4 linked regions of the Nothobranchius furzeri genome follow. The protein of the gene in region 2 interacts with the protein of the main gene of each other region in a pairwise test. Links are inferred from orthologs where the notes say so. Each region holds a gene or a part of one and is shown on either strand. Other genes may lie near its edges.

Region 1 (5,861 bases), on a different chromosome or scaffold from region 2:
ACAGTCTAAAATAACTAATTGATCCAAATAACAAGACATTTTCTTATTAATTTGGGGCTAAACGTGTAGATTTGGTGACATCATCACACTGAAACTAAAATTTAAACTATCAAAATAAAAGTCAAACACTGGGTTAAATTCTAGGCGTCACAAACACAAACGTCTTGAGGTAATTATACTCAGCACGAGTCTAACAGCTTTATTCACCTGGTCTGAGATCACAAAGCTTATCAGGGTTTGGTATTCTAAATGTATTTTAAAAAAAGGATCATATTTTATTTCATGACAAGTACTTCAAAACAGAAAAGACCTTTACAAAACTCAAAAAAAGTTACTAGAATTTGTCAAAGATGGTTCATTCATGGATATTCGCTCCGACGTTGATTTTGTTGTAAAATAAAACACAAAGATTTGAGGAAAAAAACGACAAAGTCAAATTTCTCCATTAATTTGAACTCAAATCAGACAAGCTGATTATTTTAAAACATACTTAAAATTATTAATTTCAACTAACATCATTTGTGACATATGACTCAAAAGTGCATCATTTATGACGTCATGTATATATTTTAAACTTCATATGTAAGAAAACAGCTAATTATATGAAGGATAAATGGGCTAAAAACAATTTTTTTTCCTAAAACAATCTGTCACAAGTACACAAAATATCAAGGGAGTGGGTTTGAGTTTTAGGCTGTGAGATTTTCACCAGCTGGACAACAAATGAACTAGAGATAAACTTGTGTTTAGCTTCAAGGCAGGATAAAAATGTCTCTTAACCAATCTGAGGTCAAAAAGCCTCTACTGTACAACAAGGAGGTGTACATTGGCATCGCGTGGTGGCGAGTTCGGGTCTGCGGACAAAAAACGCGCCCAGGTGTCTCATTTTCCTCCTGCCATGATTTTAAGGTACTGCAGTGCATTGTGAGCCGCGTGGGCTCGAGCAGCTTCTACGTTCGGAGCAAAGCCATGACACACAGTGATGGGTTGTGTGGACAGCTCCACCAGACACTGACAGCGGCCGCTGAGGCTGCGCTCCTCTGAAAAACAAACAAGCATGGATGTGAAGAAAAAAAACGAGGAGTTTCTAACCGCTTTACGGTGCTCCTGTTGTGCTGTTGAGCGTGAGCTCACCGAGGTCGAGGTAACTGACATCAAAGCGCTGCTCCACGGACAGGTCGCTCAGCAACGAGCAGAAGTTGGAGCCAGCTGGCATTCCCAGAGGGTGGCTGCGGAGCTGCAGGATCTTCTCTCCAGCAGAGTTACGCAGAGAATCCCAGGTGCAGCTGAAACTTTTGCTTTTACCCGACTCCGCTCTGCTGCCCATGTGCTGCGTAAATGGGATGATTTTATACACGTTTTACACAGACACAGTAGAGCCAAGCAGAGAAGCTTCATCACCATAACATGGGCACAGTTTGTGATATTTTGAGAATTGCACAAGAAATTTAAGCGCAAGCATATAAATCACTGCTGTGGTGTTTAGCTCTCACCAAATTGAAGGTATCTTCTTCTGCATCTGCCTCGTTGCTGCTCCTCAGGTCCACTGGAACGTCGTGGATCCGTGAGAGCATCTTAGCGGCTGCATTCCTCTTGGCTAACTTCTTAGATGTGCCACTTCCTGGACAGGAAAAAGGAAATCACTCCTTCACTTGGCATAAAAGCAGATTTTGACAAATCCAATTGAGCGTGAAAGCACAACATGCAGATATCAAACAAGAATGAGAGAAGATTTACCAATTTCTACAAATCTCTCCACTCTGCAGGTCATGGTAAACTCTTTTCGATGTGCTGGACCCGACTCCTGAGTGACCGTGTACTCTGGCAAACGCCATCCTTTCTGCACCACCAACTCCTGAAGTAAATCAAAACAGAAAAAAAAAGGAAGGAAACTATAGAAATATTCTAACAGAAACCAGTGTTGTGGATTACCAGGATAAAATAAAGTCTCTATGGCGTAGTTACCTGCAGCGCCCCAACGGGGTTACATTCCGACTGTTGAGAACTGCTGGAAGTCTTCATCTCTGACTGAGAGCTGCATAAAACATGAGAGGACAGACTAAATCCACACAAATCTCTCTCTTCCATCAACTCAATGTTGAAACATCGTCTGGATCCAATCAAGACAAGCCATTAAGCATCACTTAAGCATCGCTAGGTTCTTTTCTACATTTTAAAATGAAGTAGGGTCCTGACCAGTCTCCGTCAATAGACACATCAACCTCGATAAACACGTCTTCTCCGACAGCGACTCCAGCTGGATCTCCGAGGCTTCCTTTGAGCATCTTCAGAGCAGCCTCAGCTGCTTTGTGCTTAGCTGCCTTCTTGCTGGGCCCTTGGCCGGTGCAGCTGATCTCTCCGACGGAGACGCGGAATGTGAAGTTGGGCTGGTGGGCCTGTCCCTCCGCCTTCAGCAGGTCGTACACTGGGGTTTTGCCTATCCGCGTTCCATACTCCTGCAGCAGACTGATGGGCGTCTTTCCAGGATTCACAGCCAGCATTTGCTCAATACTATTTAAAAGATAGAAAGCATAAGCAGCTGTTCACTTATTTTGTTATCATCTTTACTGAGATCAAAACACAACAATGTGGCTAGTTTATTGCTGCTAAAATCTAAAGGGCATACGCTACAATGTTCAGTGGAAAAACTACACTTGTCTATATTTTAGTTTCACGAAATGCAACAAGAAATAGGAAAAGTGTGCCATCTTTAAGGCTCAATCTGTGAAATATGTTTCCAAGAAAAAAAATACTATTATTTGCCAAATGAATACTGACCCAAATAATAAGTGTGGTGTTTTGAGGTGAGATTCTTCACAGTGTACAAAGGAAATGGGCACAAACCAATAAAACTCTATTATTTACATTATCAGAGTAAAAGAAGGCACTTTTATTCAATGATTTATTTGTGAGGCGGCAGCTACAGCCATCTGGAATGAAGATTTGAACCAGAAATGTTTGCAATCAGCTTATTTTATTACATATATTACAAATGGAATAAAGAGATTTGTGTAATTTATGCCGATCTTTACATTTAGGAAAACATTATATTAGTGTTTTTGACCACCTGTTGCCTTCCAGATTACAATAATCCCTCAAAAATCAACCTAGCAGTAAAAAGCCACCAGATAAAGAGTATTAACGATGAGTCAAACAGTTAAGCTGTAGAGATTAAAAGAATAACAGAAGATTAAACACTTAAAACAACATGCACGCGTTAGTTTCTGAGGCCTTTGACTCTGACATTTTATATTGTTTACATACAAATGGCTTTTATCAAGAAGACAATCCCACCTGGAGTCCCCGGAGTTTCTCTTCCAGCTATCCGAAGCTGTCTCGTCGTTCATTCCCCGTTTCGCGCAGACAGAACCGCTCGGTTTCGGATGTAAAATCCCCCCCGCCACAACAGACACGTACTCTCATTAGACGGTATTTATTGTTGTCCCAAAACGATGAGCTAAAGCTGCAACATGATGGATACCAGAAGACGAAACCACCTCTACAGCGACAACCTCGGTCACACGATTATGACGTAGATTGCGTCCTGGGCAGCGTAAGCCCCGATTGGCCCAAATGCCTTCTGTGCCTCAGAAGGTGGGAATGACACTCATCAAGCATTCATCCCTAAATATACTGATGGGTCGAAAGTGTCAGGAAATATAACGGGATTTTCTTTCTGGATTCCGACATTAAGTATATATTATAAAAGTCGAACATCTAATAATCTGTCAGTTTATACAGTGGAAATGTTAGCCATTTCATTTAGTTTACAGTGGATAGAACAAAATGGTGTTAGGAAAAGTATTATTTGCTCAGACTCCATGTCAGCATTGTTATCAATTAAAGAAATGTCAGCTGATAAGAGGTCAGATATTTTGTATGAAATATTTGAGTGCATGTTTAGGTTAGGTTATACAAAAGGTATAATGATTTCTTATTAATAAAACCTTGTTGCAGCACTAAAGCAGAAAAATGAGATTTTGCAAGAAATATGCTAAATATTTACATATGAATTGTTTTAGAGCCGTTTTATTGGCAGAATCTGATATTAATTTAGTTCTTACAAAAAAATGGGTCCCAACGTGGTTTGTGTGGCGTTGCCATAGTGTGACGTCATAGGCACAGATCCCCTGTCCTCTTGTTTGGAAATGGAAATATGATCACCCTACATTAAACAAACTGTCCACCCGGGCTTTTGCGCTGCACAGAGATGCTTCGCTGCCTATGACTTTGAACGCCAGTTGAGAGTCAGTCTCATTCAGACTGACCAATGAAGAGAGGGCCTCAAGTTTAGACCCTCTCCTCATTGGTCATTCCACACGAGGTGGGTCAAAGGTTACCCTGAGCGGGTTACATGATGTCAGGCATTCAAGTATTGAGTATATTTACTGCATATTACAGTAAAATATTCTGTATGTGACCATATTATGGTGATCCTTGGGTCGTGATGATGGGGACCTTTAATATTGTTGCCCAGGGTACAACTAAGTGTTAATCTGACCCTGGGAGCGGAGGTAGTGACTAACACAGCACGTCAGCTCTGTCTTATCAAATGCACCAAGTAAGTTACGAAAAAAGTAACTTTAAATATTCAACCGAAAAAGAGGCGAGCTGAAGAAAACCTAGGGATTACTGAAGAAACGTGAGCAACATTGAAGCAATCACAGCGAGATCCGTTACTGTCTGTGTGTGTGCGCGGATGAGCCGGACGGACTGCGCTCCCGGCCGGCTGCAGTTTTCTGTGTAGGGAGGGGCGGGCGCTCTATGTGACTGGCCAATCACAGAGCGTGAAGACAGTCAGTTACCCAATGAGGATTTTCCTTCAGCACGATTACGGATATTTACGTGTTTTACTCGTTTCATGCTCGTATTCGTCAAAAATGCTCATCCCTAATTGCTATAATACATTATAGTAATGTATGTGGTCTAAATGTATTCTACAATAAATAAACTGCTGTGTCTCATTGGTGTGGTTTAGTAACACAATTGGGAAATGATTTAGGTTATTTTGACTAATTTACCTAGGAGCTATTGAAAAAAACCTTAATTTTTTTTATAAAAATCCTAATAAAATGATCAGATCGCATGAAAGGTGTTAACAACTGCTGTGTCTCATTGATCTAGCTTAGTAACAACACTGAGAAATTGTTTTGGGTATTTTGACAAATTTACCTAGCTACTGGAAAAATCCCTTAATTATGGATAAAAATCCTAATAAAAAAGATGAGATTGTATGAAAGTGTTTATAAATGGCTGTGTCTCATTGGTGTGGCTTAGTAACACAATTACGAAATGGGTTTGGGTGTGTTGACTATTTAGCTAGGATCTATTGAAAAAAGAAATCCCTTAATTTTGGATAAAAATCCTAATAAAAAAATCAAATTGTATGAAAGTTGTTAAAAATTGCCGTGTCTCATTGGTGTGGCTTAGTAACACAATTGAGAAATGATTTTGGTTATTTTGACTCATTTACCTAGGAGCTATTGAAAAAATCCCTTAATTATGGATAAAAATCCTAATAAAAAAGATGAGATTGTATGAAAGTGTTTATAAACGGCTGTGTCTCATTGGTGTGGCTTAGTAACACAATTAGGAAATGGGTTTGGGTGTGTTGATTATTTAGCTAGGATCTATTGAAAAAAAATCCCTTAATTTTGGATAAAAATCCTAATAAAAAATCAAATTAAATGAAAGGTGTCATAAACTGCTGTGTCTCATTGGTGTGGCTTAGTAACACAATTGAGAAATGATTTTGGTTATTTTGACTAATTTACCTAGGAGCTATTGAAAAAAATCCCTTTTCAGGGACCAGAATAGAATAAACGCTCTGCCTCCATGTTGCTCACTGAGTAGGAGGACAC
Region 2 (4,865 bases):
AGTGGAATGACTACCAATCACTTCCTGTTTGTGCAATAGGAATAGTCCATTGTGGCATTAACAGAGGGGGTGCCAGCAGTCAGGGCTAGGGGGGCCCCCAACAGAAGGGGGCCCCAGGCGGCTGCCGACCTATGCCTAATGGTAAAACCGCCACTGGCAACAAATGAATGAGATATTTGCTGTCACTTTTTTGGGGTTTCACCCGATATCCAAGCTCTCAATGACTCACTTATAAGTGCAGCAGGAAGATGGTGGAAGCCACTAATGGCGTTTAAATAAACAGCTGCAAATGTAAAATCTCTGAAGAGCGAGACAGGAAATGATTCAGAGAATCTGATGAGTGGGGCTGCAGTTAAATAACTTCTGGTTTCACTTTACAACTAAAAGCAGTGCCTCAGCTCTTCAGAGGTAAATCAAAAACATGGCTGGGCTTTAAAGAGTAAATAACCCCCAAAACAACGTTTTTTTTTTTTGTTTATAAACTGTATAATTGGGTCTTTACAAATGTAATATTTCTGTTTCTGTGCATTTTTTGACATGTTTGTGTAAACTTGATTAAATCTAGATCTAGAAACATCTTAGGGCTGCCCCCTGTGGGTTGAACTGTGGCTACTGCATTTTAAATTTATGATTGACTGGGGCTGGTACAATTCCACGTCATCAGTACAGTCTCCTCCTACTCCTCCTCCCTCCCGCGATGGAAATTCCCCGCACTTGGCCATGCCACTCTGTGCCTCCTGGCAACGCCCACTTTCATGGCATGTTTCAAATCTTGACTAAGGGTGGAGTTACATTTTCTGATGGTGTGCAGTCCCTCTTTAAGGGAAGCTAAACTAAATACTTGACTTACACATTTATTTAATCCAGAAAACAAATAAAACTGTTTAAAAGCCGGTTTGGTATTTAGAATAAAGGTTGAAAGTTCTTCGTGAGGCTGGGACCATCTGTTCCTCTAGAGCAGTGGTTCCCAAACTTATTTAGCCGCGCACCCCCTTCTATGTCCCGACCATGTCGACGCACCCCCCCAGCCCCCACATCAGGGCATGGCTATATATATATATATATATATATATATATATATATATATATATATATATATATATATGTATGGTGACATATGACAGACTTCTCTGAGCTCTGCAGCCATTACACTTTTCACCTCGCGCACCCCCTAGCACCCCCGGGGGTGCGCGCACCACACTTTGGGAATCCCTACTCTAGAGGTTTAAGGGTCTTGTTTATGGAGGATGGAAGGATGGAGCTGCCCTGGGACACACTGGCATTACCAGTCCCTCTCACCACAACCAGTAGGTAAGGAGGATGAAGTGTCTTGTCACAACGACTGCGTCAGAATAACGGGGATGCAAATCTGCAACCCTCTGGTTTTGGGGATGAAAAATTAACTCCTCTGCCACCATCACCTGATTTAGAAGCAAACCCAGCCACTGTGGTACCACTGCTGACCACACCCCCTACAGGTCACAAATGTCATAGCGTCCTGGTCAATGCCTCCCTGCCTCACCCATGCAGGTAGAAACAGAGCACCCCTGGACACCTGTGTCACCCTACAGTCTGATCCTCCACACCGTTTGCAGTGGATCTTCTGCGTCGGCGTCCCCTCCACCCCTTGAGGAAGCTGTCTCTCACTCACACCTTGTGATGAAAACTCCTCTCTCAGCTGCCGGAGCTCTGGACTGGCCATGTCCTCCACAGACATCTTGGCAAAGTCCTGCGGCAGCAGAGAGCCACTCAGTAGGCCCTGGCACAGGTGAGGACTTTTGGGATTCCTCAGGTTTGCGACTTTGCTCCTCACACAGGTTTTGTATTTGAGTCTGCTGGTTTTGTGGAGGTCATGGATGTGCTTTTCAATGTCTTCAGCCAGCTGCTCCGCCTTGATCTGATCAGGAGGTTCAGGATGGAGGGCAGCTAAGAGAAGGTGAACGCATTTGGTCCTCACAGAGTCCGACAAAGCAGAAGTACCCTGGAGGGGACGGTCTGCCTGCTGTTCTGGAGCACGTACTCCACCATCTCCATCCACTTGGGCTGAAGAACCTGCAGGATCTTTTCTCTCATCTGAGTGTGTCCCTCCTGTCCTCTCACAGCTGTACTGTTTCCTCCACCTGGACAACAAGCTCTTAACCCCCTTCCTCACATTGGTGTCTGAGCAGGTCTTCAAGATTCCATAGAGGACTTTGACCAGTTCTGTTGTTTCCAGCTGCTCTGCTGTGATGTGAGACTTATCCAGGTCACCAAGGAGGGTCTGGATGTCCACGAAGCTTCGGTCTGCAGCCAGCTTCTCCATCTGGACAGCAAGGTGGACGATTTCCTTTGTGTCCATCATGGCTGCAGAGAATGTTATCTATTTTAGACCTTGGCAGGATGCATGTCTGTTATGTTTGATGTCCTAACGTAGATAGAGATGTCAGCAACACGCTTAAATACAGAATAAATGGGTTTAGACTGATTTACCTGAGCTTCTTCATGAGTTTCAGCTTCTTCCTGCTAACTGAGAACCTCAAACAAGGGAGCAGCCATATTGTTTTTGTCTTTCATCTATGAAACTAACTACATGCACCACTAGATGGAGCTGCTGACTCACTCACTCTGAAGGTTCAGCTGAAAGTCTTTCTGCATTTATGGGGAATAAAGTTTGTAATGTTTGATTTGTAAGTTCACCACAGTAGATGTGCTGCAGGATTATAGCTTTTGTAAAAGGATTCAGACGTGTGCATTTGGCTTCTAGGGGCGTTTATTCCCACAGCAAGCACAAACCCTTTCTTTAGACTACAATTCCTGAAGGTGTAAACACATATTTAATGATTAAAACACACTAATCCTTGGGATTGAGACCAACTTCATCATTTCTAGGTGAATGCAGCATGTTTGGACTCTGCATGCAGAAACAGGCCAAGCAGCCTCCAGACAAGAATCCAGGAGGGTATCTGGTAACAAGACGGGGCAGGCTCCTCAGCTCCGGAGCAATCATAGGTTATGAAGGCATGTTTGTGGTTTTAAAGTTAAGACCAGAGATTTTGTTGTACGTCAAACTGCAGAAGGGGCAGCTAGTTGTTATCCTCAGAGTGAGCCGCTTTAGAAAAGCTGCTGCATCGCCCAGAGAGACATGGGCTCACTGGATAAGAGAGCACAACTGATGTTGCTCCTACATTGGGATTGTGTAGCAAACTCTGCGTTTTTAACAGTGTCTCTATAAACAAAGTTGTGATTAATAATGTTTGTACTAACAGTAGATAGCTTTCTGAAAAGGCTCAGTTTGGTGAAATGTTTAACATTCCATAAAACTGGAATAACTTTGGGAATGTTACGATATTCCAATTGAACTTGACTCTTAGATTCGCCAGAAGTGCCACATTTTGCACGTGAAGTTTTCCAAGTGAGCATTAAACTGTATTCATGAAATGATGCTGCATGAACCACTTCCCTTGCACTAGCTGTTAGCAATTGTCAGTCCGGTAGAATGAAACTAATTTCTCTGATTTGAGGCCTTTCAGTAACCTGTCTTTAACTTCTTCTCAGAGACTGCCTTCAAACTGGCTGGAACACTAAACAACCGCCTCAATGAATGCTAGCTTCATGCTAACTGTTAATTAGCTGTAGCTAACTTGTCTTATGGGCCATTCCCATCTGTACCGGGTCGGCCCGGGCCGGGTAGCACCGGTCGGCCCCAGCCTGGCCCGGAAACAGTCCAATGGTCTCCTGTACCTCACAGCCATGACTGGTGTCTCTAGCTTCTCTAAATCATTTTGTTTCTCACACAAAGGTAAAACAAATAAAAGATGTGTAAAGTGAGGCAACTCAGCATGAAACTGGGGTTTATGGTAAGTTTAAATATGCAACAACAGAAATGCACAAACGTATAAACAAAGCTCTACAGCTCTGGGGGTAACATAACTGTCAGCGTGACATCACCATCTTAAACTTTATTTGGAATGTTTTTTTTTCAACATTCATGTATCTGGTGCCAGCAGAAGCATCAGCGGTATGAGGGAAAAGCGATAAAAGCTTCAGGCTCTTAAACAGCAGCCTTAAAGGAGGCTGGAGCTTCCAAGAAGCTTTTAACAGCTTTAATGTCTCAAGTTTCCAGAAAAAGGGGGAAGTGTGTCGGCCAGAGGAGTTATCTTTCATTTGGGACAGGAAATGTGCTATTTTAGACTTCTTGAGCTCTTTGTGGTTAGGGACAACTCCGAGTCTTCAGAGCAGTCCGGCCACACACGCCTGGAATTCCCAAAAACACGCAGAAGGACCTTATCAAGTCATTTCTCTGCCCGTCTGCACTTGAGGTTTCCTTCCTCATCAGTGAGAGTGGAATTTTACCAGCATGCAGGAGCACCACTCCCCAGTAGGGGGCGCTCTTGATTCTGTGCTGCTTCGGCTGCTTCTGACAAAGACTATGAGGAAGTGGGGTCTGTAGTCCCCGCCTTGCTCCAGCAGACCACGCCACAAACATGATGGCATGTTCGCCTGAACACACACACACACACACACACACACGCACACGCACGCGCGCGCGCCCTGGGGGATGCCTCTTGTTAAAGAGATCTACTTCAGTCATGACAGGTTGGCATGTCCCAACCAGGGCACATGTATCATAGTATGAGGTTCCGAAAGTGCCGTGCACAAGAAGAGCATGAAGAGGTGATTGAGAAAAAAACAATGACATTCCAACCAGCTTCTCAGTTCTGTTTCTCGGAGCTGTTTTTGGGTCATTTTGGTTCTGCTGAGGATGAGACGCAAAGTCCTCAACAGTCATGAGACCTGAAAGTGCTTTTATACAGGATGTTGTCCCTCCTGAGTCCAGTTGAAGACCACTTTGGACATGTCTCCTCCTATACTGTAGATGTCTAGAA
Region 3 (5,993 bases), on a different chromosome or scaffold from region 2:
AGGCCATTCAGAGTGTTATGTACAGCAGGTGAGACGTTAACCGTTCAGCCCACATAGCTATGGGTGTTCTCTGTAAATCTAGGGGAAATGTTTGATCACTTAATCACTTTTTAATGTTTCTGTTAAATTTCAGTAAAAAAAGTTACAAGAAATTACACATAAGTCATTTATTTATATAGAACTTTTCTTTTTGTTTTAGAAGAGAGAAAAACATTTTTATTCGACACTTTTCCAGAAATAGGAAATCTTTTCTTTTCATTAGTTTTGCATCACTTGCTTTTATTTACGGATCAAGCAGTTTTTAATCATCCCTCGTTTCTTCATATTTTCCTTCCAGCAGCCAAACGTAATGAATTAAGGTGGTTTTGATTAATAATGCTGAGTCTTTATCTGCTTTTATGATCGTTCTGCCTTTAAAAGTCAAGCAGACACATTTCTGACATGAAGACCCAGCAGGAAGTATCTCTGAGCTCCAGTTCGACTCAAACATCTGGACTTCAGTGCCTCGGTCATAAAAAGGCGGAGCGTTTGCTGCCAGCGCGATGAAACGTTCGGCCTTATCGATGATCAGAATGAAAATCAATCGTTACTTGAAGTGTCTGATTTATCAGCAGCGATGTGAAGGTTTTAGTAGCTGTGGTGTTATCTGGACCTGCTGTGGTGACTCGCTCGTGGTCATGTAAACCCCCCCCCCCCCAATCACAAAAATCCACTGATTGTTTTTTCTGACACCAGCAAGAACTTCAGCAGAACCAGAACCTGGACCTTCTGTGTTTATGTTGGACTCTGTGGTAGAAACTCCACCTCATCCATCGTTCCCCCCCCCCCCCCCCTCCCCCATGTCTGTAGATCTCCATCAGCTGATGTGCTTACCTGTAAACTGTCAGTAACTGGGGCAAATTAAAAAGATGATGTCATACTTGTACAAAGAAAAGCTGAATAAACCGACAACCTGAACAAACGAGTCAGCGACTTATTTATTATTCTGTCACCAAACGAGAGTTAAATACATTTATTATGTTGGAGAAAGAAAAAAACATTAGAAGCGGTACAAAAGAGTCCTTAAATGTGCAAAAACGTCTTTCTGTGGTTGCCGACGTCGCCTCGCCGTTAATGATCCCTCCTCTGAGGCTCCGTGACCTTGCTGAGGTTTCCTGCTTCCTGCTTCAGAACGCTCAGAAGTGATTGGGAACTTTCTAAAATCTGTAAAAAGGATAAAAAATCAACAGTAAAACACGTTCACGCTGAGATGAGGAGGAGAGAAGGGCTGCGGGTGTCCTTGTTGTTTTATAATTAGAGCAGAGCAGGAGTGTGTTTTCACTCGTTTAAGGCGGAGTTCAGCAACAACACAGAAACACGACGAACCTTCAGCGGTGGCCTAATCTGGTCTGATCCGCCTGATTTATCTGACAGACGCTAAAACACGGTTACGGGATTAAACACCAGACCCAAGGATCTAGACGATGTTCAGGCTGGTGTTTCTACTAAATCTGCATCTTTCGGACTCTCGCGTTTACTTCACTTACCTTTTTGAGTCATTTTCCTGATTTTCTTGTGATTTTATCCACATAAAAACTCTTTCTTCTTAGACCTGCTCTAAACTTCCAGAGCGGTTCATGTGGCATTATTTTATAAAACCTTAAACAAGAGCGAGGGGACAAACTCCTTTTTCCGAGGGCCGGTATCCAGCATGTTTTAATCAGCTCCCTGCTTCAACACACCAGACTTTATTCAGTAGGTGATTAAGAGGCTTCTGCAGAGCCTGATGAGTTGCTGAGCAGGTGACTCGAGTGTGTCGGAGCAGGGAAACAACAAAAACAGGCTGGGTACCAGCCATCTGGGAAGGGAGTTGCCCACTCCTGCACGAGAGGATAAATTTCCTGGAATATTATCAGAGGAATTTGGCACTTAAAGGGTAAAACAGAACACCACGGGAACTGACGTGACTGCTTTAAGACAGCTTGCACCCTGTGAATTTGTCTCAGACTAGCCGTTAGCTCGTCTATCCCTCCGAACAGCAGCCTGGCAGAAGGCCATCTACAGTAAGACAACGAAACAAATGTCTGAAATGTTCCTCTAAGTCACGTGGAATCATCGCTCGATGGGGCTAGCCTTGTTTTAACCCCACGTTGCCATGACAACACGTTTTATCCTGGTAATCGTGACGAAACAGTTGAATTTATCTCCCTTCTACACTATTAAGCTCGTTGACTTGTTGGGATTTGGAATTATTCTGGTAAATCAAAGCTACGCTCCTCTCATTTTTAACAAAAACTTTTACAAAACCTCATCAGGTTCAGGTTAATAATGTCCAGCCGTGGTCCTCCAGGGCCACCGTACAGCCGATTTGATTTGTTTCTCTGCTTCAACACATCAGGTTTTAATCAGGAGGCTTCTGTAGGGCCTCATGAGCTGCCGAACAGGTGAGTAAACCATGGAATCAGGTGTGGTGGAGCACGAAAACAACTGAAACATCTTGGATCAGAGTCCTATGGGAGCAGAGCCGGAGAGCCCTGATGTAGACGGAACCAGGACACACCTTGGCGTAGGCAGCTTCTGTCTCAGCGATGGTGCGGTCCAGTGTCGTACGCGCTGAGAGTCTTCGTGCCAGGCTCTCGTTGACCCGGCTCAGTTTCTCAGACAGAACACGGATGTCGTGCTCCAGACGTTCCTTCTCATCTTCCTCTTGACGGATCTGTCGGTTTAGTTCCTCTTGCTTTGAGCACAGCTCCTCGATACCTGACAGGAAAATGAAAGCTTTATTACACCTGAAGTGGCTCTGATCCAAAAACACGAGCTTAGCTTTACTTTATTCAACTAAAACATCAATCTAACATTTCTGATGGCTCCCCAGAACAAGAAAACTGTGTAAACCAGTCAGAAAGTTTAAAAAACTGCCGCAGGAAGGCCGCACGGATTAACCACCGGGTAGGAACGTTTAAAGCACATTAGTTCCGCTATGCTGCTATTTTTAGTTGTTTTAGGGTTAAATGAGGATATTAAAGAAACGCAGCTATAAGCAGTATTTTTTAATCATATGGCTTTAATAAAGCTCAGCTTTCATGTGGGTTAATCTGATGGTGGTCCAGATTAAAGCAGACATGTAAAAAACAACAAACCAGATTAAAACACTAAATTACACACATAGTGTTAAATTTAGATACTTTTTACATACATTTAAATGTGGCGTTTGGTTAAAATGTAATTAAATTCTAGAGCTGAAGCAACTTTATCTATTTTCCGAACATTTTATGAGTTTAAATCAAGAAATAAAGTATTTAATCCTTCAAACGAGTCACTTACACTTGACAAGTTCGTTGTTGTAGGCCTGGAGAGCGGCGCCTTGCTGAGTCATCCTGGTAAAAGTGGTCGACTGAAGCGAACTCAATAAATCTTGAGAGAAAAAGGTTAAAAGAGGGAAATGTGTCTCCGTTCAGCGAAACGTTTTAATTCATCAGGCAACGGCGGGCTTCCCACCCCCTGAGAGCTCTTCTTCGTTGGAGCTAAACAGCGGGGTTGACTCACTTCCGCCATCTGGTGGATGAAACGTGAAGTGCGAGCTCCACAAAACAAAAACAAAGCCCACTGTATTTCCTTTGGTGATAAAAAACGTGAATAGTTCAATAAATTAATGAGTAAATGCAGATAATTAATTTTTCTAGGTCTCTGATGTCCAGACTTTGGTCGCTGAGGACAAACAGACACACAGAAAATCCTGCTGGCCACAAAACTTACATTTCTTTATTGTATTGTGAAAGTTCCATTGAAATGAATTAAGCCTTGTTTGTATAAAATGATTTCTAAATACCTGTAGGTACAACACACACACACACACACACACACACACACACACACACACACACACACACACACACACACACACACACACACACACACACACACACCAACAACAATAACTAATGTTTTGGATCTGATGCGTCATTTCTTTTCTAGTTTCCTGGTCTGGAAAAATCAGCTGCTGGATTTAGTCAAGTTTTATGAACGCTGAAAAAGATAATAGTACCACGGATGAGGATACGGCAGAAAAATACAAACATAAATGGTAAAGCAGAAGTATAAATGTAAATAAAGATAGATCATCATGATTAAAAATTGAATCCAGGATTCCCCAGGAGCAGGTGACACCATGCCATACTTTTGGATCCAGACTGTGTACACTGGTGATGTGGGGCTGAAATTCTGGCCATCTCTCCTGAACACAGTCGTTGTGTTTTTAAGCATCAGTTAACTAGTTACAGATAAATGAATAAGAAAAACAAATGTTTGATGCAGCAGGAAGGAGGCATAGAAATCTAGACAGACAGTAGCAGAAGCAAAATTATTTTGCTCTGCAGGTTGGTCTAGCCACACTGTACTGGAGCCTTAGCAGGCCTGACCAATCACAGCGCTCTATCAGTTTGGTGGGTGGGATGTTATTGCGATAGAGCAGAAAAGCTAAGACAGAGGCAGATCATTTGAAATGGTTTTGGCCTCAACTTTGGACTATTTAGATGGCTTCTTCTTTGAGTCAAGAACAGACAGAGGTACTTAAGTCCTTCATTTAGAAAAAAGACATATGTGTGTCTTCTTCGACAGAGTATGGTGGACTACCTTGTTGACTGACATCCGTAGCAGTGAGAGTCACTTTGTTTGTTGTCCAGTAGAATGCAGAGGCAGTTTGAAAGGCAACAATAGCTTTCACCCCACGACTGAGCTCTGTCTATGGGTCATGGTCAACCGACATATCCACATATATAGGATGGCTAGCCAGGGTAACAGGAAGGTACAAACTATGGTAGCCTGCCTGCCGCTTAACTTCAGGGTTCATTTCAAGATCCTGGTTCTGGTCTATAGGGCCTTACATGGACAAGCACCATCTTACATTGGTGATCTTCTTAGTCCCTACACCCCAAGCAGGTCCCTGAGGTCCAGTGACCAAACCCTACAGGTTGTGCAGCACCAGGCTAAAGGTCAAAGGTGACAGATCATCTGCTGCTGTGGCCCCCAGACTCTGGAACTGAGACCAGTAGACTCAGTGGTCTCCTTTAAAAAGCAGCTGAATACTCACCTGTTCATAGCCTAGTGAACTAGACCAAATTCTTGCATTGCAAAGAATGGTCTAGGCATGCTCCATTGGAACCTCAGCAGCTCCTACCAGGACTCTGGCTAGCCAATCACAGCTCTCTAGAGGAGTTTCAAACATATTAAGAGCTGTGATTGGTCCATAATGGTGGGCCAATCATAGTGCTCTATCTGCTTAGTGAACAAATCACAGAGCTTTATCCGATTTGTGGGCCAATCAGGGCACTCTATATGCCTGGTGGGTGGGACGATGCAACAGAGTGAAACAAGAGTATGTCACATTCATTGTCCAGTAGCATGCGGAGATCATTTGAAAGACAACGGTAGAACCCGCCCCACAACCGAGAGCCGTCAATGGAGCGTGGCCAGACTAAATAATACATTTATTTAGTCTGGCTTGCCAGGCTAACCTGTTCATGCTTTGGTGTGACCTTCACCACTCTCTCCTTATTCTGATCCTACCTATTCTGCCTTTCCTAGCGTTCCACTCATGATCTATTTCTTATTCACTTTCCCTTTCTTCACATTTTTTTAATCACATTTTTTTTACTTCTCCCAGTTGTGTGATGTTTAAAAATCATTTTTCAATCTTGTTATTTTTAATATTTTTTATTTTGTTCTTGTGAAGCCCCTGTGATTTTTATCTTGAGAGGTGTGTAACATTCTTAATTTACATTTAATAAAGGACCACAAGACATTAAAATTTCATATCTAGTATGAAATCCATCTTGCGGACCACTGGTTTATTTAATCAGAAGATTGGATCTTTTTAATGCAGGGATTTAGATGACACCTTGTATTAACTGAGAGACAAGAGAAGAGAGAGAGACCTTCAAATGTTTAAGATAGTTTGTAACTAAATAATTTTAAACAATTTAAACAAGACTAACTCTCTAATGGTGGATGTTCTG
Region 4 (6,002 bases), on a different chromosome or scaffold from region 2:
CTCTGAAAACTGGCTTCAAACTCGTCCAGCAGGACGAAACTGGAACATTTCTTTGACCTGAAAGCAAATTTGGTTTTAGTTGTAAACCTTAAACATGCAAACCAGCTGCTGTACATTAAACATGTTATTTTGGTCCTTTAATTCCTACATGGAGACTAAACAAATGATACAGCATGCTGATTAGGGCTGTGGTTCTCCAGTTAGCGTTTAGTGTGGAAACAGAGCTGCACACTAGCAGTGTTCTAATATTGCAAATATTACACGTACTGCTGGGCTGTCACAGCAAATACATTCCAAAACAAATCAGTAACATTTCAGTCCAAAGAAGTAAAATGTATGGAAGAAAACCAGCTGCTGCTCCTCTCGTTTCAGGTATTTATTGAAAACGCTGCAGATGTTGTGGTGAGAATGAAGAATGAGGAAGGAGGCGCAGAAAGGAGGTCGAAAACTCCTGTTTTATGTGTCACTGACACAGCAGCTGCTTTTTTTTGTTTTTCTTCCTGTAAACATGCAGCCTGAACCGTATTTAATGTTTAAATGTGATTTATGTTCAAAGCATGTTTTATTTCCTTAGAAGGAAGGGACTTAGAAGGGATTCTTTCATTCATTCACTTCACACTTCTGTCTTTTGTTCAGAAAGTCGCTTATTTTTGTCTCTGCTTCATTTGATTTGAAGCAGTTTGATTCAGTTGAATTGAGTTTGATTCAAATACGATCAATTTGAATTCAAGCTGATTTGGTTCAGTTGATTCAAATTCTATTTTGTGCTGTTCAATTGAATCCCTGTCTCAATGGGTTATATTTGATTCATTTTAGTTGAATTTTATTTGAATTGATTCAAATAAATTAAAGTCACCCTGATTTGATTGAATTTAATTTGGTTTCATCCTGTTTCGGTTTGATTTGAATTGGTTCGATTACAAGTTTGATTCAAGTCAGTCAACTGAAATTATTTCACTGTCTCTTCATTTTATAGTTTCGATTCAAAGAGTAATTAAAAGCAATCTGGATCATTTTGAGTCTATTAGATTCAGTTCAATTAAAATTGATTCATTTTGATTCAAATAGTATGATTCAGTTTAACTCAGTTCCATTTCACTTCAGTTACTTTTTTCTTACAACAGAAATCATCTCAGGCAGTATGATGGATGGGGTCAATTCCTCATTTACATCCCAATTCCATTCAGTCCAATTCATTCGGTCTATTTCTACGAATGATACAGAGTTCAGTTCAATCCAGTTCTAATTCACTAGAGATTCAGTAAATTAAAGGTTTGGTTCACTTGTTTAATCAATACATCTGCAGTGGTCTCTAAGGGGGATGAACGCCTTGTAAGTCATTCTCTGGGGGAGAAAAAATAAACATTGGTGTTGCATTTTCAGGAACTAGTAGTGACCCACAGGAGCTGAGCTTCAGGCTGTAGGTTTGAAGTCTTATTTCCTGATATTTGGACATCTTGAACTGGATAACAGCAACGCAACACTACCACTGCTTTGCAATGCTGATATTTTATATGAACAAATAACACAAGTCTGGAGGAATTCTGCTGTGTGGTGAAGTTGCTAATGCTAACAGTTAGCTTCTGCTAGTCTAGATGTTCTCTGATGTTTCCTGGATGCTAAACCAACAACAGCCTTTGCCGTCGTGAGCAACAGTGTGACGTAGATCTGTCAGGATTTTCAAATTTTAGAGTTTTACCGTCTATTTTCTATCAGAAGCGACAGGAGATAGGTGTGGAAGACTATTTTCATGTTCAGCCTGTACAGAAAGCTTACAAAGACCGATTATAATCAGGAATAATCGTCAAAAAATGGGGTTTCAGTGTCCTACACCTTTAAACAATTAGTGAATTGCTGTTAATACTGTTATTATTCAATAAAGTCAGTAATTTACATTCTAAATTTTACAGAGTCACTATAACCAACTGGTTCTTGTTTTTCAGAAAACTCCCAGTTAGTCACATAAAGTAGCCGTCTGACACAGTTATGGTAAAAGATGGCGTTTCCTTTGAAACCAGACACTTTAGTTCCGTTTGAGAGAGAGAGAGAGAGAGAGAGAGAGAGAGAGAGAGAGAGAGAGAGAGAGAGAGAGAGAGAGAGAGAGAGAGAGAGAGAGAGAGAGAAGAAGTGAGTCAGTTCTGTTTAGTCACTGGAAATAAGACACACCAGCAACATCTTTTTTCAAACAATCAGGTTTCTAATAAAATAATATTTATTTATTCATTTGTTTGTTTGTTTCTTCTTATCACATAAAATAAATCATAAAATATTTATCTGTAGTGGATTGGGTTATTGATGTGTGTGTGTGTGTGTGTGTGTGTGTGTGTGTGTGTGTGTGTGTGTGTGTGTGTGTGTGTGTGTGTGTGTGTGTGTGTGTGTGCTCGCGCAGGTAGGTACAGTAAGGCAGGAAGCAGCGTGGGTGAAGCAGCCTCCCTGTGTCACCGCCTGCGTCACACCAGACGCCAGGAGGGAGTTTTCCACTGACGAAAAAGGCTGCGCTTCTCGCTAGTCTGCTACAGACAAGGGAAGCGCTTCAGCTGCTGCGGAGCTCCGTCCAGCTCTCTCTCTCTCTCATACACAGTCACAGACAATAGCACCGAGAGCTGCTGGAGCTCACACACACCAGGATAAACGCTCGTTCTTTTTTATGTTTTGACAAATCTACCCCTCTGGATTAATCCCACGGCTCCACCATCCACCCTGTTGTGATTCCTAATGCTGATCGGATACTTGAACTGGTGGTGAGTATTAATTAAAACCGGGTAGTCGCTGTTGATGAGCTCTAGTTTACATGTTGACCCGAGCCGAAGAGGACAGCAGAGTAGTCTGAGAGTGTTTAATTGTGTTGCTGTCATTTAAACGCGTTAACTTGTGAGAAACCACGCCATGTGTTCATTTAGACGCTTTTTGTGCCGGAGTTCTGACCTCCGCTAGAAGTTGGAGGTTTATTGCGCTGACACGCTTGTTTAAGTGGCTTAAGGTGGTTTATTGTTATTTCACCCAGTAAAAGGGGAGAAACGCGACTTAAATAGTTGTTGCTTCATTCAGAAGTTTCATAACAACCATCGTTTTAGTCATAATAATAATAATAATAATAATAATAATAATTATTATTATTATTATTATTATTATTGTGATTATTGTTATTATTATTATATGATGGGGCTTTTGTGTTGCATTTCATTTTATTTTAGGAAACTTAACGCGCGCAGTGAGGAGATTTGGTTCAAACAACATTCTGTGTTTTAGGAATGATTTCTCTGAACTGTTGATGAGCTCGTGTGTGTGTGTGTGTGTGTGCGCGCGCGCGCGTGTGCTGGAGTTGTTCACCTTACGCGGTGCTGATGCGCCTCTTGTAACTCCTGAAGGAACTACATCTGAGCGCACAGCTGACAGGGCTGCTGTCATTAGGATTAATCATGAGGAATGATCGGGTCAGCTGAGATGGAGGCGTGTGTGTTTGTGTGGGAGAAGGGGAGTGTGAGGAATCAACACGTCCGAATCGGATCCGATCACTGATTTCGTATTGATTATTTATGCCTTTATACACACCTTTGCGCAGGTGGCCAGGTGCGCGCACCAGATGTATTGTTTGATCACACATGTTGGGATTATCATTATTCTTCTAATAAAACCACCGTTTTTTCTCCTAAATCAAAAGTAATTGAAATATATATTTTTGTAGCCTATAATTTAGCTTTTGTGCATGGATGCGTTGTTTTCCCAGGTTTGGATCATTGAAACGTCTCTAGCGCGACCTCACCCGGATAATGTTTGGAATTTCCTGAATCAGGCGCCATGGAGCTGACTGATCCTTTGTTTACTGTGAGGCCACTCAGCACTTCCATGTAATCTGGCATGCATTCCACATATTCATGTATAGCACTCTGTTACCCCCATTTTTAGATTTATCATTTATTATAAGGAAACAAAAGCTCCCTGTAATGCTTGAGGGGAATTTTCCACCAAAACAAACATCTCCCCCCTTAAACAGCCTCATGTCCGTCATGTGATCTTGTCTTCAGTTAACCTTGTGGTGCCTTCAGCTGTCAGACTGATAATCTGGATGGCCACTTCCTGTGCACTGCTGTGTTTTTTGTTTCACAACCTCAGGAAGCTGGTGCACACTTGGTATCTTTCCTCCCAGCTGGGAGAGGAGGCAGCGGTAGCAACAGGAAAAATAAATAAAAGCTGGGTTCAGACGAGGCTGTCTGCTTGATTTCGGTCAGCAGGATGGCCCCCACACTTTTGTGCCTGGCGTAGTGAGAAAGAGGAGGAGGAGGAGGAAGGTGGGGGTAGGAACAGGGAGCCTGCTGATAGTCTTGAACACAGCAGCAAGAGAGCTCCCATCTGGCTTTGTCCTCTCCCAGCATTCCATACAGCAAGTGTCCCAGACTGGAGCACGACCCCTGAACCGGCGACCTCCTCCCTTCCTACACACACACACACACACACACACACACACACACACACACACACACACACACACACACACACACGCACACACACACACACACAGTAATCCTTAGGTTACATTCTCAGGTTAAAAACAAAAACAGCTCGTTACAGAAGTGTTTTTTAAGGTGGAATTCAGGCTTGTACCCAGTCAGGTGCGGCTGCAGGAGAAGGCTCAAATGCCTTAAGGGAGTAAGACTTTCCAGTGGTTAGCAGCAGAAAACACATCTGGATTAGATAGAGCCTGTGTTCTTCTCTCACTGTTACAGCTGGAGCGGCGCTGCCAGAGTGGAATTCCTGCGGCTTGGAGACATGACATTATTTATTTGCTCTGTACGATCCGTTCTTCTCCTTCCCACTACCTCTCTACTTTTTTTTTGGACTCTGCGTGTGCACGGGGCTAAAGAACAGAATGTTTCTGTGGCACAGTCACGGGCGAGCTCTGAAAACAACAGGCTCATAGAGGGGAAAACACGCGCTTTGGCTCCAGCAGGTGGAGCACTCTGGGATGACAGCTGGTGAGGTTTTAAACCCCAGCTGTGCGGGAACAGGAAATTCCGGCCCGACAGCTCTTATCAATTACCTCTTGAGGTGGGAGAATAAAAGACGCACAACACCTCAAAGCCTAAGAGAGGTGTGTGTGAGCTGCCTGGACATGACTGCGCACGTGCAGGACGACTCCCTGGCTCATCATTATCACATGAGCACTCAGTCAGTCGCTCAGACACTGCGAGGTTGCCAGCGTGCCGTGTAAACGCTCTCTGCGGGCCAAGGTTAGCACAACTTGTTGCTCCCGCCCACGCTGTTATCAGCAGCAGAGGAGGCTGGACAGGCAGCACGAAGGGGGCAAAGTCAACTGTGACTTGCTCTGTTGGGCTGCAAAGGGTATGGGGGGGGGGGGGTAGTTTAAACACACACATGCAAGAGGATTTTGATTTTCATCCCTGTGAAATTCCATCACTGCTTTTCTCTTTAATCCCCTGGTGTGTGGTTACCATGGTGACCCTAATGAGCCACAGACACTAGTGTTAACATTTCCTGTTTAGTTTTCATTAGCCTTTATTTGCTCTGATTACCTTGTTAACGGTGGAAGTTGTTTTGTTTTGTTTTGTTTACCTCCTGATTATCGTTTGTCCCGATAATTCCCAGATCCCGTTTCATAAAGACGGCAGGTTCTGTTTCCGAGATAAGGTGCAAGCGACTCCGAAGTGAACAGCCTGTAGCTTCTTATTTCCAGATAATCTTATTCGACTGACACAGTTACGCATCAGACGTTGGAGCGGTGTAGTACTCCTGGTGACAAATCTCCTCGCCGGAGATTTATCTTCCCAACTCCTGCGACAACTGGCTGGGGAGCACCTCAGTGGCTGCCTCCTTTATCTCTCTGTGTGTGTGTGTGTGTGTGTGTGTGTGTGTGTGCACTTGATGGAATGACAATGATGCATAATTTAGTGCACGATGAAAACACGCTGCTCTGCCTCTCTCTGGCTCAGCTGTCCGATCACATCCATTCTCCATTTAAAGGAAGACATTCAAAGACTTCTGAG

What was found. The genes of interacting proteins can lie anywhere in the genome.
Region 1: the proteins of transcription elongation factor A N-terminal and central domain-containing protein (region 2) and tarbp2 interact in binary tests that used the Homo sapiens proteins (3 or more experiments, as listed by UniProt). The two-hybrid records come from large-scale screens. The link is inferred for Nothobranchius furzeri from reciprocal best matches to the Homo sapiens genes TCEANC and TARBP2.
Region 3: the proteins of transcription elongation factor A N-terminal and central domain-containing protein (region 2) and ssna1 interact in binary tests that used the Homo sapiens proteins (3 or more experiments, as listed by UniProt). The two-hybrid records come from large-scale screens. The link is inferred for Nothobranchius furzeri from reciprocal best matches to the Homo sapiens genes TCEANC and SSNA1.
Region 4: the proteins of transcription elongation factor A N-terminal and central domain-containing protein (region 2) and csrnp1b interact in binary tests that used the Homo sapiens proteins (3 or more experiments, as listed by UniProt). The two-hybrid records come from large-scale screens. The link is inferred for Nothobranchius furzeri from reciprocal best matches to the Homo sapiens genes TCEANC and CSRNP1.

What each region holds. Positions count from the first base shown.
Region 1 is NC_091743.1:62,018,854-62,024,714, reverse strand, and holds tarbp2 (RISC-loading complex subunit tarbp2), read right to left. Parts: upstream 3,491-5,861; 5' UTR 3,348-3,490; coding exon 3,295-3,347; intron 2,512-3,294; coding exon 2,197-2,511; intron 2,036-2,196; coding exon 1,966-2,035; intron 1,856-1,965; coding exon 1,738-1,855; intron 1,622-1,737; coding exon 1,494-1,621; intron 1,331-1,493; coding exon 1,135-1,330; intron 1,041-1,134; coding exon 883-1,040; 3' UTR 665-882; downstream 1-664. UniProt on the Homo sapiens protein: Required for formation of the RNA induced silencing complex (RISC). Component of the RISC loading complex (RLC), also known as the micro-RNA (miRNA) loading complex (miRLC), which is composed of DICER1, AGO2 and TARBP2.
Region 2 is NC_091754.1:47,119,383-47,124,247, forward strand, and holds transcription elongation factor A N-terminal and central domain-containing protein, read right to left. Parts: upstream 2,558-4,865; 5' UTR 2,470-2,557; intron 2,405-2,469; 5' UTR 2,342-2,404; coding exon 1,427-2,341; 3' UTR 1,249-1,426; downstream 1-1,248.
Region 3 is NC_091746.1:74,033,769-74,039,761, forward strand, and holds ssna1 (microtubule nucleation factor SSNA1), read right to left. Parts: upstream 3,491-5,993; 5' UTR 3,356-3,490; coding exon 3,304-3,355; intron 2,740-3,303; coding exon 2,540-2,739; intron 1,204-2,539; coding exon 1,111-1,203; 3' UTR 966-1,110; downstream 1-965. UniProt on the Homo sapiens protein: Microtubule-binding protein which stabilizes dynamic microtubules by slowing growth and shrinkage at both plus and minus ends and serves as a sensor of microtubule damage, protecting microtubules from the microtubule-severing enzyme SPAST.
Region 4 is NC_091747.1:49,828,690-49,834,691, reverse strand, and holds the start of csrnp1b (cysteine/serine-rich nuclear protein 1b), read left to right. Parts: upstream 1-2,512; 5' UTR 2,513-2,741; intron 2,742-6,002. UniProt on the Homo sapiens protein: Binds to the consensus sequence 5'-AGAGTG-3' and has transcriptional activator activity. May have a tumor-suppressor function. May play a role in apoptosis.